Linked DNA regions of Neurospora crassa OR74A. The protein of the gene in region 2 interacts with the protein of the main gene of each other region in a biochemical or structural test. Links are inferred from orthologs where the notes say so. Each region holds a gene or a part of one and is shown on either strand. Other genes may lie near its edges.

Region 1 (3,751 bases), on a different chromosome or scaffold from region 2:
AACAGTGGTGGCGGGTCTGGTGTGAATGGCAACAACAATAACAACAGCAGCAACAACAACAATAATAATAACAGCAGCAACAGCAACAATACCCACTCGACACCAATCTCAAGCTCCAATACCAATGGGTATGGACACAGCCACTCTGGGTCCGATTACAAGTACCATCAGCCGGTCGTATCAACCTTCTCAACGTCAAGCAAGGACCTCGATCCCTATCCGCAACACCTTTTGGGAACACAGGCTGGCCAAGCTCCACCGCAGGTCGTCCACTATCATGGACAACGGGGTGGCAGTCAAGCGAACACGCCCACGAACTTATTTCATGATGCCGGTTTGATGCGCCGCGGCAGTCAGGACACTGTCGGCAGAAACGAGAGGAGGGGTAGTGAGCAAGGGACGTTGCAGACCTTGCTTGGCGCGAGGCTGGAAAAGACAGCGAAAGAAGCTGCAATAGAAAACCAGAGTATCAGCGAAGAGGCTGAGCCGGAGGTCGCGATGGATCTCAAGCCACAAAAGACAGGGGAAGCGGCAGCGGAAGCGGACAGGTGATGAAGGTGGAATGTGCAGGGGTGGTGGTGATGATGATTGCTATATGCGACACGACGCAATGTCCTGCTGAAAACTGAGGCTGAAAGCGGGCTCAGTCATTTAAAGCGAAGGGAGTATAAGGCTGGAGAGGGAGCGGTGATAATGATCGAATAATCCCCATGTAATGGACGATAGGGAGACTCAGGCTACTGACATGAGCATACTTTATCAGGGAGCGATGTAGAACGGAACATTGCGACTTAATGACGTCCACTTTCTTGCATACTCATCCATCATTCCTGTTCTCGCTCTCTTTGCGCTTTCGTTGGGAGTTTGCATTCTTCTTCTTCCTGTTATTTTCCGTCACCATCTGAATTGGGTAGCAGCGCAATCGAGATAATCAAGGGCTGAGGAGGAGCTAGAAGGGGAGAGGCAGGAGTACGAGGAGCTAAAGTAAGCCGGGATATCACTTATTGTCCAAGCAGTTGTTCTGTGTACAGATTGCAGAGACTGACAGCGTGGTCTGGTCGAACAAAAGGAATTAATACGGTGCTACGGAAGCTATACGTAATGCACAACGCTCAAAAGTCATTCGTCATATTCCCTAGCCACTGCCTTTGGACTCTGAAATTGATGAGTGAGCCAAGGTGCTAGGAGCAGGCGTCAAATCAAGAATCAGTACACTGCATAAAGACTAGGACCTTACTAGTAGTAGCATGTTAATCGAGCCCACCCGAACTGCACCGATATCTCCGCATCCTTTTGTTGGCAGCCTGGGTGGTAAGTACGCAGTATACTGAGAAACCCACCCTGGATATGAGTACACAAAGTGTCAAGATGCGGATTCAGAATAGTAACGGTTGCGGAGTTGGTTGAAGCTGACAAACCCGTTTCTCTCGCCGGCGGGAAAGAATCCGATGACGGCTTTCAACATGAGACTTTCGATCACGCCTGGAGATCGCTGCATGACGTAAGCCCCACCCACCCGAATCAAGCTCCCCACGCTTCCGAACCCGCGATTGAAAAAGGTACGGGGACCCCAAAGGAGGGAGGAGTCAGTGCCTCTATGCATTGCACTGACTGCACTGGGCGTACCTGAACCTCGTCCGATCTTCCCCTCCTTCATCCAATTCCATTCTTGCTTTCCAGACACTGCATGTCAAAATGAGTCTGTTCGTTGCTAGCACCAGATCCGCCTTCCGGGCTGCCGCCCCCATCAAGAGGGTAAGCCACCCCATTCCTTCGTTCGGATTTACTGTTGCTCTGAGAAATGTTGCTGCGTCGAGGTACACAATCCTGCCGCCACGGGCAGTTCTGGTGGTCGTCGGACGCATATACGGCATCATGAATGCGCCTTGAGCAGAATTGGGGCAGACGCACGCGCAGCGCACCATGCGCGACAGCTTCGCGCATCACTTGACACATTGACTCTAAGCACAACCAGCAGCCGTTCTAGAAGTCATCGAACTAACTCCTTTCCTTTCACAGTCTTTCCAGACCCGCCGCTCCTATGCGACCGAGCCTTCCAAGGGTGGCAGCAGCAGCACCATCCTCCTCGGTGCTGCCGCTGTTGGTCTTGCCGGCGCCGGCGCCTACTTTTTCTCCGGCGCTGGTGCCGCCAAGAAGGCTGAGGCCAGCGTTAAGCAGGTGACCGAGAAGATCACCCCCGGCGAGATCAAGAAGGCCTTCGTCGGCGGCGACCAGGGATGGCTCAGCCTCAAGCTCGAGGAGGTTGAGCTGGTCAACCACAACACCAAGCGCCTGCGCTTCAGACTCCCTGAGGACGACATGGTGTCTGGCCTCCATGTTGCCAGCGCCATCCTCACCAAGTTCAAGCCTATCGATGCTGAGAAGGCTGTCCTCAGGCCTTACACTCCCATCAGCGACGAGAGTAAGTATTTTCGTATTGACTCATTGGTTTCCCACGATAGTACGTTGACTAACGTCCGAGCAACAGGTGCCCAGGGCTACATTGACCTCCTGGTCAAGAAGTACGAGGGTGGTCCCATGAGCACCTACCTCCATGACATGGCTCCCGGCCAGCGCCTCGACATCAAGGGCCCTCTTCCCAAGTACCCCTGGGAGGCTAACAAGCACAAGCACATCGCCCTCGTTGCTGGCGGCACCGGTATCACTCCCATGTACCAGCTCATCCGCGCCATCTTCAACAACCCCGATGACAAGACCAAGGTTACTCTCGTCTTCGGCAACGTTAGCGAGGAGGACGTTCTCCTCAAGCACGAGCTCGCCACCATCGAGAACCACTACCCCCAGCGCTTCCGCGCTTTCTACGTCCTCGACAACCCTCCCAAGGAGTGGGCCGGTAACAAGGGCTACATCAACAAGGACCTCCTCAAGACCGTCCTTCCTGAGCCCAAGAACGAGGATATCAAGATCTTCGTCTGCGGCCCACCCGGCATGATGAACTCCATCTCCGGCAACAAGAAGAGCCCCAGGGACCAGGGCGAGCTGACCGGTATCCTCAAGGAGCTCGGCTACTCTCCCGATCAGGTATACAAGTTCTAAGCGACTCAGGACTTGGATGCATCTTGTGTGTTATAATATTACCGTCTTATTTAGCTAGAATAGCGCGGCGTCACTTGAGTTTGCCAGTGTGGGATTGGCTTGGTCTACGATACTCGTGCTTGACGAGCACACGCAGCGCACATCCTGCTGCGTATAGATAGAGGATAATAAAAGGCAACAAAAAGGAAATTAAAAATAATGAAAAGAAAAACAAAAATTCGGACATGAGCTTGTCAAAGCGACAGGATCGGATCATGTCAAACTCTTGCTTTTCTGAAACGATGCTCAGTTTCAGTTGCAGTCGACATCCAAGTGAACACAAAGACTGCGATGGCATCCGTTGTGGCGGTGGTGCCGGCGTGGCTGATACCGACGTGGCTGACAGCCTGCCGGTCTGGTCATTCTGAAGGTGCACGTGGAGACGTGACAGCGTTTCTGCAATTGCCGGCCGGCAAGTTTAGAGCTCCAGCATTTCTTGGCTTGAGCTTCCAATTGATTTCCCATTCTCCATTCCCCGTCCCCCCCCCCGTCGTTCGCTCTAATTCCCACCGAACAAGCACCAAGGCAAAGCAGCTAAACAGGCCGTTTGGCCTGCGCCTGTAATAATGGCAGCGCTTTTGCCCTTCAAGGTGCCCCAAATCAGCGAGGTATGTTTCCTTTTGTTCCATGATTCCTGTGGTCGGCGATGGTCAGA
Region 2 (3,751 bases):
CCTGAAGTCTCTCTTGTACTGCGGTACGTTCTGGTCGAGCGACGAAGGCAGACGAGGATCATCCCAGGTCGTTGTCTTGGTATTGTGATCCACGAAGTAGACGCGAGCCGTGTTGGTGAGCCGCATCTCCCAACCACTAGGCAGGGGACCGAGCTGGGACACCGGCTGTTGTTGAATGGTCCCGTTCGTGTTGTTCTGGCCACCGTACATGCGAATGTACTGCTGGCGTCGAGGGTCGACCCAGGTAGTAGTGCGCGTGTTGTGGTCGACAAAGTACGGCCTTCCTTCTGGGGTAAACCTCTGCTCCCAACCAGCAGGTAATTCACCGGTTCCGGGGGTTGTCGCCCCGGTATGCATCATAGTGGCAGCATTGGCGGTGGCGGCAGCTTGCTGCTGCTGTAGGGTGGGGGAATTGGCGCCAGTGCGGTCCTCGGGAAGTGTTCTGTTCTGATGCCGTTGACGCTCGACTTGAGTATTGGCTTCGGCGGTACGGTTTTCGGCCGCCCCTGTGCCAGTTGGCCGATTCCAGCTCGTGGTCCGTGAATTATGATCAACATAATATGTCCTCCCCAAATGATCCTCGCGACGTTCCCAGCCAGCTGGCAATCTTCCCATTGAATCTTCGAAGGGGCTAAGCGTGCTATGGTGCCTGGCTTGCGCCGGAACGAGGGTCGACGGGTTCGTTGGGGCTGTTCCATTTGTCCCGGGGGTCGGGGCTGTCGACGACGACGAAACAGCCAGGCTGGCGGGTCGGCTTGCCAAAGTCATGTTATTGGCGGTTCCATTAGGTCCGGACATGGCTGATGAAGGACGTTCGTTCGCTCTGTCGTTAGAAATAACCGAACTTTGAGGGGTGAGTAGTGATGGTCTGCTCGAAGATGGAGGGGGACCGAGGCGACTCATAGTTGCTGTGAGGTTAGTAGATAGGTTTATGATCAGTTTGCCGTGCACCACAAGGTTGTCGGTCGATTTCTTAAGGTCCCGCGTGAGCATCTGATCTGTGGGTGTGGTGCATGTCAGTCCCAAATCGCGCTGTCAACCTGCAAACACATGTGAATTGCAGTGAAACCTTACCTTCCGCATCGGGAGCCAATTCTATTACGTCCCCTATCCGGACATTGATGACACCGAGGAAACCTTGGTCCTTCTTTTTGAACTTCTTTTGGTCGAACACCTGGACAGCCAGAATGCTGTCCTCATTCACTTTGCTACGTTGTATTAGCCAGCTGGCCCTTGGGCTGTCAAATCTGAGTTAAGGTCGAACCTACAAATCAAAGTGTTCGTTCCAGTATGGGTTTAGGGTACGCTTGGAGACCTGGGTGGTCTTTGTCTGCTCACCGTTAATGGTAGCGACGGCGAACGGGTCGGGAAACCCTATGATGATGATGCGGTTAGCATATGCCACCTGGAAGTGGCTTAGAAGATGCATGACACCTGGCCACGGGGAGAAACATACTGAAGACATCTCGCTTGTATAGACCATCGGCGGCGATGACTAGAGGGGCATGTTAGTACACCGGTTGGTCATCGGACACATTCGTCGCAAAGGGGCTGAGTACTTGTTACGCGGAGATTGGGCTGGCTTTAATCGTGGTGGTTGTTAGCTGGCTGTTCTCTCGCTTATAATCCGCGGTCCCTGAGGGCGACGCAAAGCAGACAAGATGGGTAGATGGAGAGTCCAGTCGTGGGAGAACTTACGCCGGCAGCCCCGAGTCCCGGCTGCTGGTCATTGTTGCAGATGGAGCGCGTCAACAAACTCGCACGCGGGGCTTTAAGTTTTCGTCTCGTTTCTTGGACCAAGCAGAGGCTGGTCGCAATCGGGTCGGGTAGTCGGTCGCTCTCGCTCGTTTGGGATCGAGGACTCGCGGCTGAATGCAGGCGGGGCGGGGATGAAAGGAGGACAAGTCGACGATGGTACAAGCAGGCTGAATGATTGTTACAAAAGGGCCAACTCTCCTTGCGATGGACACTGACGTTGACGAGAACGCGCAGTCACTGGCAACGGAATGGATGCGGCAGGGTGGATGAAATTCTGTAGGTGGCAGTAGGTGGTAGATGGAAGCTAGAGGGACTCTTGAGCGCCCGTAGGTGGTGAGGCTGTGCTGCTCTTGGTAACTCGTGCGTGTGTGGCCAGCCGGCCCCCCCGCTTTGGGTATCTTACGCTGTCAGGTAGTCACGGCGGCGGAAGGCGAACTGCAAGGAAAGGCCAAGCAATCCAAGAGGCCAAGGTTGGACGGCTGTGGCTTGGTAATACTAAGTAATCTCTGTACTAGCAAGGTCGGCAAGGCAGGTCTGATACTTAGGAAACCACTTCTGTGGATCAACCAGCAGGTAGTGTAAACTCGCTCGGATGTCTAGGTTCGTCTGGTAAGGGTACCTTTAGTTAGTAGTGTCGAGGTTGAATGCTGTCGTTGTTTTGTCGCGGTGAAGCTGCTGGAAGTGGCGGGTGGGTGAGCTTGGGTTCGACGGACCAACCCCAAGAAGGTCCAGGTGAAGAGCTCAATGACCTTCACTAAGTTGCAACCGACGGATGAGCCAAAGGATGGGAGGGAAAACGACCGAGAAACCTGGACGTCTTGCGATGTTGCAAAGGTGCAATGGTGCAACGACCCAAGCCAAGAAATTGACAGTCCAAGTTGGATCTAGCATTGGTGAAGAGACAGGGGGAGGTGACAAGACATAATGGTTCAACAGCATTAACGGGAAAGTATGGCTGGCCTAGCATGCTCTGTGCGAGAAGCTTAACTTTTCAGTTAGTAGCTCAGGTATCGCATTAACGAGTGACTACTTTTAGGCCAGGAACTAGTTAGCAGAAGCCTGCAAAGAGCGAGAACTGAAGCGGAAGGTGCGCACAGTGCGGTACTTGACTTCTTCTCTTAAGCAGTTGGTCGGGTCATTCGAGTCCCAGACTCCCAGGGGGCCACATTCACTCCATGCTTGGCACGGCATCCAGATCTCGAGATCAACATCAACAACATCATTGGCACACAAAGAGCAACCTTGGTGTACATGGATCACATAGTCCCGTGTCTTTTCTTAGGAGTTGATGCCCTGTCAGGAAAATATCCCATGGATCACGGCTCAGTCATCGACACAGAGAATTAGAATAGGTAGCTATGCTGGCCTGAATGCCTTTCCATGACTAGGGGTAGGAAAGCACCTCCACCGACCGCCCCAAGCTCCGAGGTCTCTCCAGGAAACGCCAAGATTGTAGTAGAAGCTGTCTGTTCCAAAAACTCTACACAAGAGGTAGCCCAACGATCGGGGATGATGATGATCTTGCGCAGATCTACCAGATATCAAGCCACTACCGAACTTTGAAGAAACCTCCAGAGGCAGTCAATTAGGAAAGTGAACACTTCAAACCTCAACCTTGACAATTCAACGCACAGCACCTCTACATCCCATAACGACGATACACCGCACGGGGTGCAAAAAGGCGTTAGGTCGCTACTTAGCGTATCCCAGTACATGTAGTGTACCCCCGTTGCCGCCGACCGAGACGCTGCTGTTCCAACAATAGCGCATCACCGACATAAACGCCCGTCATTTCCATTTTGATACCCCTCGCGTGCGACGGAACTGCGGGGCGTTACTGCATCTCTGGATTTTCAATTGAGGTTTCTTTTTTTGTTGAGGTGCTTTTGACGATGGGGAGTTCATGGAAGCATAGAGGTACCCATCATATGTACACTAGGTTTGTACACTACACTAGTGGCTGTCATCATTGAACGAAGCGAGACAGCAAATG
Region 3 (3,666 bases), on a different chromosome or scaffold from region 2:
AACGTCTTCCTCTTGAGAGCGAGAGGGGCGATGAGCGGGAGGAGGTCCTCTGGACTTGGCTACTGGGGGAGGGACAGGTCGGCGGGCGACCGGCGGCGGGGGTGGCTTTGAGCCAGAAGGTCTGTCATCGAGCGTGATGGAAGCCTACAAAGTCAATGTCAGTCAATCGGTACGACATCAATCTGGCTCCATGATACCCCGCAAATGAGGGTTCCTTGTGACTTGTTACAGCCGCAGGTGGAAGGATTGGGGGCAACCTACAAACAGGTCCTCGGCCGTGGCAGACGACCTCTTGTCAAAGCCAGACATTGTGTCGGAAACTGATCGGTTGGTTTGTGCAGTCGGACGAGTGCTGTTGGCAGCTCCAATATCGAGGAAAGGGTTCCGCGAGGTAGGCCTTGGAGGGGGATCGTCGAATGGAGATACTTGAGGTCCTGAAGAGGTGGGAGAGGCGCGGTCACGGTTGCGAAAAGGATTGTTTGAATTGAGCGACAAGCCAGCAGCAGACCGCTGATCTAAATCCCAGGTCAGGGGGAAAACCCAAAGCGTCAGCAAGCCATCAATCAAGGAAGAAAAAGGTGGGTTTAGGGGCAGCGGCACCATGCATGCAAGTGACGCTTGTGATAGGGATATGAAACGGCAATCTCCTCGACATGACACAGCGGACTCAACAGCGGAGCGCACTGATAACCCAGGCAGCGCCTAGGACAGCCAAGAGACCAGCCGAGACCCTCCAATGGAACAGAGATGGACAAAAAAAAACCGGGAAGTGGGAAAAGCGGCAACCTTCACAACATGCCAATGGGTGTGGATCGGCCGTTTTTATTCTGCTGCAATTGAAGGGGGCCGCTAAACAAAGCCATGCAAACGGGGGGCCATGTGTTTGGGAAAGGGGTAGAAGGGGGAGCAGATCGCCCAGGGTCGGGTGCTCTGTGGAAAGATATAAAAGGAAACCAGATACTCACCATTCTGCTCCGACTGGAAAAAAGCCATGGTGGGCTAGCTTGTGATGGTTGGGGGAAGAGGGGGGGGGGGGGGGAGGGAGGGTTGCTGGAATGCAGAGGTGTGCACGTCGTTCGGTTGGTGTTGATGCTGGTGGTTGTTGGATTGCCCGGTTTGTGTGGCCACCAACGCTGGTTTGTAGGTAGGTAGGTCTGAGCTATCTGAGCAGGTGCCGTATGGTGCCGTATCGCTTCCGGATGCGTGCTGCGGGATGCGGACGCGCGGTCTGTGATACACGTCTTTAAAGTGTCTTGCGGTTCTGGGTTGCCGTGCCGTGGGCTCGCGTCATACCAGATAAGAAGCTCGGGTTGCGCACTTGGCTTTGCAAAATGGACGAATTGCCGGGAGGAGGTGATGGATGGTTTGTCCCTGGCCAAGTATAAAAAGAACTGGCAGCCAACACGTCGATCTCAGATGTCCCTTGGAACCTGAATCAGCCAACGGCCGCGGGTTCCGACTGGATGATGAGTCGTGAAGGGCTGTGTTTTGCCACGCAACGCAACGCTGCCACAGCCGGTGTGTGTGTGTTTGTTAATTGGCGCTCGACCTTGAACTCGATCGAACCCGATTGCGCAGGTTCTTGAAGTGGAATGCCGTGAAGGATGGTTCACTACAAATATGCAAGCACTGCTTTCCAAATCGATTGCTGCTGCTCGATCGCGCTTCCTGTTCTGTTGCCGAAGTGGCCGTGGCCTAGCGACACCTTTCAAGCTGAAAAGTCTATCTTTCTCCCTGTTGTTTTCCGACGTCCCTGGGGTTCCGAATCGGTCCCAGTGATGTGACACGGGTGGGCGGTCGGCTTCTTCTTTGAGGCGTGGTTGCGAAAAGCGTATTTGGTTTCGGATCGGCTGACACTGCAAGGTGACAGACGATGGGAGTGCGAGACTTGCTGGGCTCGAGGCTGAGCGGAATCTGGAGCCGGCGGCGCAGGGCTGGGGAGTAGTGGTGGTGTTTGGGATGAATGACGGAGAGAGGGAGCGAAAATAAGAGTAATTAGTTTGGAATGCTTCTTTCTCGTCGACCGGCCAGGATCGATCGCTGTCGCGGGTAATGGTAAGGTGGGTGTAGCAAGGAGGGTCCTGTATTTGTGTACGGCGGGATGTATACGGGGTGGTGCCAGGCCGTGGACGCGATCACGCACAAAGGGAGTGCGAATATCGATCCTTGGTGTGGATGTCCTGTGACAAGCAGTCCGGAGGAGTGCGAACAGAAGGAGAGGAAAAAGGGAGGACCGAGGCGAAGGGATTGTGCTGGCGAGGTCGACTTTGACTTCCCAGCAGTAGTGTCCAGTGCCAGTGGCAGCGTCTTTCGGCGGGCAGATGCGGGCAGAGTGACCGCGAGCGATCCGGAAAAGGAGATTGCAACGGGAATCGACCGACTTCTCTTGGAGAGTCCTGGGGTGGGCAGACGAGGGTTCCCGTGCCGGCTGTTACTTGATAGGCGGAGGCGGTGGGGATGGGCGAGGGGAGCGCAATGAGCAATCCCCAACCGAATTGCCAAAGGGTCTCGCTTCACCCTTTAATGTATCTTATCTTGCCTGTTTGTTTTCTGGATGGAAATGATATCACGGAAAGAGTAAACAACCAGTGTGATGTAGAAGCCGCCTCTGGTGCAAGACCACGAGTAGGTATTAGCTGAGCGCGGCCAGCGCGGTACACAGATCACGGCAATATAAAGAAACGGATGGTCACAGGTCACTTTGCGCAAAGAGCGACAGGTGACCACGGCGGCGCGGGTGGTGACGATGTTTGTTGCGGGGAATTATGGGTTTCTCTTCTTCAGATGTGGAGGAAAAAAGAGAAGAGAAAAAAAAAAGCAAGATGAAGCTACTTTGAACAGGCACAGCTTTGGAGAAAATGACGATCTGTGCAACTCGGACTTCGCTCTGAACGGCGGCAACCGGTTGATCTTTCATGTCAGCTAATATGAGACTAAATGCCCAACTGAAGCATATCTCCAGATTCGTTGTCCCCAAGACGCACCGGGCTCTCATGCCAGGTGCCGTGGTGGCTTCTTTTGCCTGGGCGGCTATACCCCTTTGGGATCATCTCCACGCTTGGCCTGCATGATCCATCTCGCCCTGGCTTCTCCATCAATGCAATGTTCCATCGACGGGCCATCGACGGGAGGCCATCGACACCACTGCACGCCCAGCTGCAAGATGGGCTTTTTTTGGCGGCACTTTTGTCTTGTTGATTTTTCCCGTCCTGTTCTTTTCTCACATGGGCGGCCCGTCTGTCCAAACGACGTTCGGATGGTCTGATGAATGCCACGTGAGTAACATCTGCGTGTTGACATCGGTCCGTCTGCAAGAACAATGTCGTGCTCAGTCCGACTCAATGTTGTCGTTGTATTCCATGGAAGAAAGAGACGGTATGAACCCCAGGTCCCAAGATCCCTAGAGGTAGCGGTCATGGTCAACTCGAGCTCTGAGTGGCCAGCCCCACAACCGCTGCCGGTCGCAATGAAAAAGAAGCACTTGAGCAATAAAACCGAGTTGTGCTTCACGTGGATAAGGTTAGGGCGTTTCCAAACTGGGGATCCCCATCTTGACGAGATCTTGCTGAGCACTCAGTAACTCCAGCCATCGGAGCCGAATGAAATGCAACTCCCACCGAGTCCGAGCTGCTGTTTCAACACGCGCGTATCACCCAAGACTACACC

What was found.
Region 1: the proteins of NCU03947 (region 2) and NCU03112 form a complex in vitro, tested with the Saccharomyces cerevisiae proteins (2 studies listed by BioGRID, with this or other methods). The link is inferred for Neurospora crassa OR74A from reciprocal best matches to the Saccharomyces cerevisiae genes RSP5 and MCR1.
Region 3: of the proteins of NCU03947 (region 2) and NCU00687, one has a biochemical effect on the other in vitro, tested with the Saccharomyces cerevisiae proteins (2 studies listed by BioGRID). The link is inferred for Neurospora crassa OR74A from reciprocal best matches to the Saccharomyces cerevisiae genes RSP5 and PAL1.

Annotation. Positions count from the first base shown.
Region 1 is NC_026501.1:4,599,006-4,602,756, reverse strand, and holds NCU03112 (NADH-cytochrome b5 reductase 2), read left to right. Parts: upstream 1-1,358; 5' UTR 1,359-1,695; coding exon 1,696-1,755; intron 1,756-2,019; coding exon 2,020-2,422; intron 2,423-2,488; coding exon 2,489-3,057; 3' UTR 3,058-3,489; downstream 3,490-3,751. Other genes in the region: NCU03113 (SH3 domain-containing protein), read left to right, coding at 1-552; NCU03111 (hypothetical protein), read left to right, coding at 3,663-3,704.
Region 2 is NC_026506.1:2,205,888-2,209,638, reverse strand, and holds the start of NCU03947 (ubiquitin ligase), read right to left. Parts: upstream 2,566-3,751; 5' UTR 1,731-2,565; coding exon 1,699-1,730; intron 1,583-1,698; coding exon 1,560-1,582; intron 1,496-1,559; coding exon 1,457-1,495; intron 1,375-1,456; coding exon 1,269-1,374; intron 1,209-1,268; coding exon 1,075-1,208; intron 999-1,074; coding exon 1-998. UniProt on the Saccharomyces cerevisiae protein: E3 ubiquitin-protein ligase which accepts ubiquitin from an E2 ubiquitin-conjugating enzyme in the form of a thioester and then directly transfers the ubiquitin to targeted substrates.
Region 3 is NC_026501.1:7,551,001-7,554,666, forward strand, and holds the start of NCU00687 (hypothetical protein), read right to left. Parts: upstream 2,819-3,666; 5' UTR 994-2,818; coding exon 966-993; intron 516-965; coding exon 262-515; intron 145-261; coding exon 1-144. UniProt on the Saccharomyces cerevisiae protein: Involved in the early step of endocytosis.